Linked DNA regions of Sus scrofa. The protein of the gene in region 2 purifies or fractionates together with the protein of the main gene of each other region. This does not show direct contact. Links are inferred from orthologs where the notes say so. Each region holds a gene or a part of one and is shown on either strand. Other genes may lie near its edges.

What was found.
Region 1: the proteins of DCAF1 (region 2) and COPS6 purify together in Homo sapiens (affinity purification with mass spectrometry; 7 studies listed by BioGRID and IntAct, with this or other methods). This does not show direct contact. The link is inferred for Sus scrofa from reciprocal best matches to the Homo sapiens genes DCAF1 and COPS6.

Annotation. Positions count from the first base shown.
Region 1 is NC_010445.4:8,001,263-8,005,501, reverse strand, and holds the start of COPS6 (COP9 signalosome complex subunit 6), read right to left. Parts: upstream 2,801-4,239; 5' UTR 2,762-2,800; coding exon 2,698-2,761; intron 2,486-2,697; coding exon 2,360-2,485; intron 2,150-2,359; coding exon 2,018-2,149; intron 1,402-2,017; coding exon 1,313-1,401; intron 1,216-1,312; coding exon 1,153-1,215; intron 844-1,152; coding exon 796-843; intron 720-795; coding exon 605-719; intron 517-604; coding exon 424-516; intron 327-423; coding exon 226-326; intron 119-225; coding exon 1-118. UniProt on the Homo sapiens protein: Component of the COP9 signalosome complex (CSN), a complex involved in various cellular and developmental processes.
Region 2 is NC_010455.5:33,702,017-33,706,039, forward strand, and holds part of DCAF1 (protein VPRBP), read right to left. Parts: intron 3,308-4,023; coding exon 3,138-3,307; intron 1-3,137. UniProt on the Homo sapiens protein: Acts both as a substrate recognition component of E3 ubiquitin-protein ligase complexes and as an atypical serine/threonine-protein kinase, playing key roles in various processes such as cell cycle, telomerase regulation and histone modification.

The DNA.
Region 1 (4,239 bases), on a different chromosome or scaffold from region 2:
GCCTGCCGATGCCTTGTCGGTCATAGAGGACGTTGAACTTGTTCACGAACTGGTTCATGGTATTGCACGTTTTGGTGATGGTGCCTAGGTAGGCCATGAGTCCCACGTCATTGCATTGCTGCAAGGAAACAAAGAACCAGTTTCCCAGGGGCTCTGGCTCCAATGTCCTGCATGCAGAAATGGTGGCATGAGCCCCACCCTCCTGATCCTGGGCTTTATACTCACATCATAAAAGTCTGTCTTGAACTTATCAGTGCTGAGCACTGGGAGGCAGTGACACAGAGCATAAGCCTCCCGCAGGATCTCATGGTTAAAGGGGACCTCTCCTAAAGGCACAGCAAAGGGCTGCATTAATGTGATACTGTTGCTTCCCCAGGAAGGAGAGAAAAAGTGGTTCAAGTGTCAGGGGGACACCTGTCCTACCTGCTTCAGAGGCCTTGACATACTCCAAGATGAGCTTGACGCGGCTGTGCAGCATCTTGATGGCGCTGTGCTGCGCAATCAGGTGTTCCGCCACTACACAGGGTCAGGCCAAGGCTGAGAAGGCATGGGGCCAACACGTCCCACCCCCCGCTGCGAAGGAAACCCCTCCAGCCTGCATTACCAGTGGAGTTCTCTCCGCTGCCTGTTGCTGTCATTCGGGCCACATGATCTACACCAATGCGTTCAGCCTCCTCTGTGGCCAGGGTATAGGTCAGCTCAGCAAAAAGCATCGTGGCCTACAGGGCACAGAGAGAGAGTCAAAAGCAGGAAACACCGGGAGCAGGGTCTGAGAGTTGAAGGGTATGGCATTACCTCTCCATTGATGATATCTATAACAGACTCAAAGACGCTGACCGGAAGCTGTAAAGAGGAGATGGGCGAAGAGCTCTTAGTAACAGCACACGTACCTGAAGGGCCCCAAACCAGGCTTGGCCCTTTCGCATTCCGTTTTTCTATGTCCCCAAGTTACAAGTAGGAATTATCCCATTTTAGTACATGGGGGAAATGCAGTTTAGAGGTTAAATGACACCCAAAGTCTCAGCTGGTAAAGAGAAGGGAGAGTCAATTCAACAGAGGCGATACAGTAAAAAACAGGATGAGAATTAAAATCTGGGTAGGCATAGCAATGGACAAGCAGGACAAAGTAGCCACGGGCTCAGTATTACTCACATCTGTGTGCTTAGTCATAGGGTTCAACTTAAGAAACAAAGGGCTCTCAATTATCTCGCACACCTGGAAGAGGGGGCAGATGCACCTGAGTGCCAGGGCCCATTTTTCTCCCGCTCATCCTCTGTCCTCCGCCCCAACGTGCAAACGGAAGTGTGTATACCTGCTTATGGACGTGGATATCAGAGGGGTCAGGCGGTCCCCCTGTGGTATACCAACCCAGAAACTCCAGCTCCTTGAACACCTGTTTAACTGAGGAGGAAAGGGCCAGAGCACAGAGTATTTTTTTTTTTTTTTTAAATATCGCTTCTTTAATTTGAAGCTCCTGGTGGATTTTAACCAGCTTCTCCCCATCCCATCCCGGCTCAGTTTAGAGTAAGTCATCTCTTCTATCTTCTCCTTACTTTGTGGGAAGTAACCAAATATGTTCTTTTTTTTTTTTTTTTTTGGTCTTTTTTCCATTTCTAGGGCCGCTCCCGCAGCACATGGAGGTTCCCAGGCTAGGGGTCCAATTGGAGCTGTGTCCGTCGGCCTACACCACAGCCACAGCAATGCAGGATCCGAGCTGCACCTGCGACCTACACCACTGTTCATGGCAACACTGGATCCTTAACCCATTGAACAAGGCCAGGGATCGAACCCGCAACCTCATGGTTCCTAGTCGGATTCGTTAACCACTGAGCCACGACGGGAACTCCCAAATATGTTCTTTTTTAAAGATCTCTACAGCTACCTTCTCGTCACTTGGCCTCCATTCTGCTCATCTCCTGTTTATTTTTTTCCCCCCAACCCTCTCCACCTTCCCTATTCTGATTTTCTTTCTTTTTTTAACTCCCACTCCTCTCCCCCACCTCTATTCCCCTCTCACACTGCTCCTCCTTGGTGTAATAATATTCCTTGTCAATGATAATCTTCTCTTCCACGGTGTGGGACAGCAGCTCAAAGGAGTTCATCACCTCGATATTTCGGCCCTCCTGCTTCCCGATCAGAGCCCCAATCACTGGAGGAGAGGACACAAGAGGTGAGGGTAAAGAATCCTGAAACTTAGTTAAATCAGTATAGCCTGAGGGTCTGAGGTCAAGTGAACCCAGTACTAGGGAAACGGGTGGTTTGCGGCGGAAGAATTGGCTTCAGCAAAGGAAAGGGAAGGACCACCGTTTGGGGGAGATGACCAGGAAAAGAAGGCCAGAGAATTACGCCGAACACTCACCCTGCATAGGCCGCCCCTCCTGGGAGCGCATGCGAATCCAATGGTCTGAGATGTTGAGAATGACGAGGGGGTGAAGGGCGACTGAAACACTGCCAGTCACTCCGGAGGCCATCACGCTGGGGACGACTAAGCAGTTGGAAGAGAGGGTGAGAGTCCGGGTCCCACGTTCCCCCCGGGAGATGGGAGGGGAAGCCAGCAGAGCCGGGCCATACATCCCTCCCGCAAGTTATCCCAGGGAACGCGCCGCTGACCCGCCCTCCCGACTTCCCCGGGAGTCCAGGAAGGCCTTGACGCGCCCCAAGGGCGTCTCCAGAAGCCGCTCCCTCCCGGTCGGTTACCTGCTGCATCCACCTCCATCCCGCTGCTCCCTCCGGTCCCGTTCGCCGCAGCCGCCGCCGCCATTTCCCCCGCGCCCGCCAGTGTCGGCCCCGCCCCCTCCCTGCCGGCTTCCGTAGGCAGCAGCGCATGCTCAGTGCGGCCGTGGCGCGCGCCTGCCCAGACCCGCGCAGGCAGCCCTGGGTCGGGGAGAGCCGGCAGGTCTTAGTAGCCCTCTCGCCTGCCTCTGACCTTGAACAACTTACTTAACCGCACCCTGATCGTCCTAAAGTATACTGGGATTAGACTGCCTACTTTGTAAGGCTGCTGCAGCATGAATGAAACTTCATGTTGTTGCCCTCAGAGTAAAAGCCACACTCCTAACCACCTGCAAGACCCTGTAAGATCAGACCCCTGCCCGCCAGCCAGCCCTGGCCTCTGCTTTTCTGCCCTTTGATCGCCGTGCTTCAGCCACATTGGCTCTCGTGTCTGTTCCTTGCACACGTCTCACTCATCCCCACCGAAGGGCGTTCTGTCGCCTTTATCACTGTAACACGTGATCAAAACTACCTGACATATGGGCACCTAAATGATTTCTTTTTCGGGCCGCATTCACAGCATGCAGGAGTACTCGCACCAGGGACGGAACTCACGCCACAGCTGTAATCAGAGCCACAAAAGTTCAAATCCCGCTGAGCCACAGGGGAACTCCATAAATGATTTTTGAGTGAATGAATGGTTTGCCAGTGGAGCCTGGTCCTGAGTGCCTTGGTCTACACATCCTTTCTTTCCTCCTTCCACCTCATTACCTACAGCACTGAGAACATCCCTGGCATTTTCTAACCCCTCCCAACTTCCCTCTACCCTCCGTCTCCGTTAGTCTTTCAAAACTCACTTCTGGGAGTTCCCGTTGTGGTCAGCAGGTTAAGAACCCAACTAGTATCAATGAGGATGTGGGTTCGATACCTGGACTTGCTCAGTGGGTTAAGGATACAACGTTGCCACAAGCTGCAACAGAGGTCACGGATTGGGCTCAGATCTGACATTGGCTGTGGCATAGGCCAGCAGCTGCAGCTCGGATTCGACCCCTTGCTTGGGAACTTCCATATGCCAAGGGTGCGGCCCTAAAAAGAAAAAACAAAAAACCACCTCCGGCAAACCTAGCCCACTCCAGCCCTCTCCCCACCCCTACACCCGAGCAAGTTGTGTACACTGCCTTTACCCTGTCTTGTCGCCCCTACAATTTGGCTGGTTCTTTAGGTGTGTCTGTAACACACCCAAGTGTTAGCTCCTAAAAAGCAGGTAGAGACCTGTACCTTTACCTGCGGAGCCTACTCTGCTGCCCAGAGATGTTTTCTGGTGATAATAGTGACTGGTGCGAATTAAGCTATCTCTCCATTTAAGAGCCTGCATAAAGGGAAATTAAACGACCAGCAACTCTCAAAGTAAAGGCCTGAGAAATCCTGCAGGGAGGGAGATCTCCTGGCCAAAGGGAAGTTAAGAAAGCGTTCCTCTCCAAAGCAACAAGCAAACACAAAAAACAAAGGAAAGAATAAAGAAAGAGG
Region 2 (4,023 bases):
GTGCTAAATTATGGTACACTCATATGATGAACTACTTTGCAGCTAATGACAATTATTTTCAAAGAACTCAAAAAAACAAAAAAAAGATTCAAAAATACATTAATGAAATAAAAAAATAAGATATAAAATTTTAAATCCAACAACACCAAGTATTGACAAAAAGGTATAAAAATGAAAACACTCATAGACTGCTGCTGGAGGAAGAAAATAGTATGAGCATTTTCCAAGCAATCTGGCAGCATCCACCGAAGACGAAACATGGACACACTATAACCCAGACTATACACATTATATATTCAAGAGATTCCAAAAAGAGGTTCCTGATACCATTCATTTGATGGGAAAAAAAACAGACACCAAATATCCATCAATGGGAGAATAAACTATAGTACAGAAACACAAAACTTCAGGTAAATATCAACACAAATAAACACATAACAATGGCTATGGTGTAACGGAATGGGCAGCAGCTTGGGAGCACTGGAACGCAGGTTCAATCCCCAGCCTGAAAGAGGAGTTTAAGGATCTGGCATCGCTGCAGCTGTGGCATAGGTTAAAACTGCAGCTTAGATCTGATCCCTGACCGGAGAACTCCATATGCCGTGGAGCAGCCAAAAAAAAAGTGACTGTATGCCTAAAATTTATATTTTAAAATAAATAAAAATAAGGGTGAAAAAAGCAAGTTGCAAAAGACACATATAGGATAATATTTATATAACTTTAAAACATATGAAAGAATACTATATTATTATTTACACACCTACATGTATGTATAGCATAACATCAATGGAGAGAACATACACCAAATTCAGAAGACCAGTCACTCTAGGGAGGCAGAAAAAGGAAAGGAACTGAAAAAGAAGCAAATACAGAAATATGCCAACCCTGGGTATGAGGCAGTTGTTGTATAATTCTCTGTACCTTGATGTATTTTGAGCTATTTCATTTAAAAGATGAATCTGGTTAAATACTATAATCTCAATTATGTATATTTATATACATTATGAAAAAAGACAACTGAAATTAACAGTGGCTAAAAATATTTTTCATTTCTAAGGTTCTATATATTCTAAGCAAAACAAGTATTTGATTTGGGGGGGCGGGGGGGAGTCACACTCAAGGCATGTGGAAATTCCCAGGCCAGCGATCGAACCTGACACACAGCAGCGACCCCAACTGCTGCAGTGACAACCCTGGATCCTTAACCTGCTGTGCCACAGGAGAACTCCCTAAATTTTTTTTTTTTTTTGTCTTTTTGCTATTTCTTGGGCCGCTCCCGCGGCATATGGAGGTTCCCAGGTAAGGGGTCAAATCGGAGCTGTAGCCGCTGGCCTATGCCAGAGCCACAGCAACGCGGGATCCGAGCCACATCTGCAACCTACACCACAGCTCACGGCAACGCCGGATCGTCAACCCACTGAGCAAGGGCAGGGACCGAACCCGCAACCTCATGGTTCCTAGTCGGATTCGTTAACCACTGCGCCACGACGGGAACTCCTAATTTTATTTTTAAAAATAAGCTTGTAGGAGTTCCCTGGTGGCCTAACAGTTGGTATTTGGCACTGTCACAGCTGTAGCTCAGATTCAATCCCTGCCCCAAGAACTTCTGCATGCATGGGTGTGTGTGGCCCAAAAAAAAAAAAAAAGAGGACACTTTTTTCATTTTTGACAATCCTGCAACATATGGAGTTCCCAGATCTGACCACAGCTGTAGCAACACCGGATCCTTTAACCCACTGTGACAGGCTGGGGATCGAACTTGTGTCCTGGCAATTCAGAGATGCTGACAATCCCATTGTACCACAGGGGGAACTCCTAAAGTCTATTTTCATAATAACACTAAGATGTTATTTTTCTTTCTCACTCTCATTCTCTCATGAGTGTATAGGAGACCTTTCCAGAGCCTGTATCATGTGTGATGTCACGAAAGATTGAATACAGAAAGAGATATGAGATTTTAAGCCAGATATTTTAAAAACTTGCTGAAATCATCTGGTTTTATTTAGAGAAACTTTTCATTAAAAAGTGTTAATAAGGGAGTGCCCGTTGTGGCTCAGTGGTTAACAAACCCGACTAGGATCCATGAAAATTCAGGTTCAATCCCTGGCCTCACTCAGTGGATTAAGGATCAGCATTGCCGTGACCTATGGTGTAGGTCACAGACACGGCTCAGATCTGTGACGTTGCTGTGGCTGTGGCGCAGGCCAGTGGCTACAGCTCCAATTCAACCCCTAGCCTGGGAACCTCCAAATGCCGCAAGTATGGCCCTAAAAGACCAAAAAAAAAAAAAATGCTAATAAGCAATGGGTTCAGATTTTTAAATAATTCATAAATATTTTTACATTTTGTTTTAATTTCTGATACGTTAAATATTAATCGATCTAATATAAAAACAAAAGCTTTTGGGGGTTCTAATAATTTTTAATACAGTAAAGGGATCCTGAGACCAGAAAGTTTGAAAATGGCCACTCCAAAGTATTCTCGTAGATTTGATAACCTGGGACTTAGCAAATAAGCTATATGTACCCTAAACAAGACCCTCTTGTTTTTATGGTAGTGGATGGATAAGGAACGGAGGTCAAGAACCACGGGTTTTAAACTTCATTACTATCTTCCCTTCAGACTCCATCTTTTCCAAAATACAGTTTTAATCCTTTTTACATCGTCCTCAATCTCCTGATTGCATTAACTGTTTTTTCTGAGCCTTGTCCTGCTTTGCTCTGTTTTTAACAGAATGGTAAAAATCATAAGAGCAAAAAATACAGTTTTACGTGTAGATAAGATAAATATTACATATAGCTGTCAAGCACTAGAGACATTTAAAGTCTAAACACCAAAGAATACTGGGCGCCAGTCTCAAGATAGGACTTCAACCCCACCTCTGCAGCTAAAATATATAATCTTATATAACATTTTCTAAGAGTACAGATGTTGATCTCTGCCTATTGTGCAGTATTTATTAAAGCCAAGACCAACTACTCTCTAAATTACAAATGATATGAAGATGCTTAATCTAGTTTCTCAGATTCAAGCCCAAAATTTCATTCAACAAAGATTTGCTACACTATGTGAAAACCAACATTAACTTTAGCAAAAAGCAGAATCTAACTTCATTGGAAACCTTTCTCTGGTCCCACCTTGCATAATAGGTCTTCCAATTGCAGGCAATAGAAATAAGCTGCAGTAAGAGTTGGACACAAGAAAGTTTGAGGAAGACTTCAGCTGGTTCCCAATACAGCTGTGCTGGGCCATATTCTATCAAAAACTCCATCATTTCCACAATCTGTTCATGAGTATACGAACATGCCTAAAAGGAGAGATATATATTATTAAAGTATATTATTATTAAAGAATTTTATCAATCTGCTTTATCTTCCCCAGCACAGCTCAATGGCCAACTTTTACTTTTTTTTTTAAGGGCCACACCCATGGCATATGCAGGTTCCCAGGCTAGGGGTTCAATTGGAACTGTAGCCACCAGCCTACACCACAGCCACAGCAATGCAGGATCCAAGCCACATCTGCGACCTACACCACAGCTCACGACAACGCCAGATCCTAAACCCACTGAGCGAGGCCAGGGATCAAACCCACAACCTCATGGTTCCTAGTCAGATTAGTTTCCGCTGTGCCATGACAGCAACTCCCCAACAGGTTTTAATAATAAAGCTAAATAATTTTAAGAATTTTCTTTTTGTTTTGTTTAGGGCTACACCTGAGGCATATGGAAGTTGCCAGGCTAGGGGTCAAATCAGAGCTGTAGCTGCCAGCCTCACCACAGCCAGAGCAAGGAGGGATACAAGCCACATCTGTGACCTATACCACAGCTCACGGCAATGCAGGATCTTTAACCCAAATTAGCGAGGCCAGGGATCAAACACATGTCCTCATGGATACTACTCAGGTTCATAACTGTTGAGCCACGATGGGAACTCCAATAACAGTTTTCAAATCCTACAATTCTTCAGTCCATAGCCCACATATGAAATAATGAATATATAAAAATAATGTTTAATCTTTTAT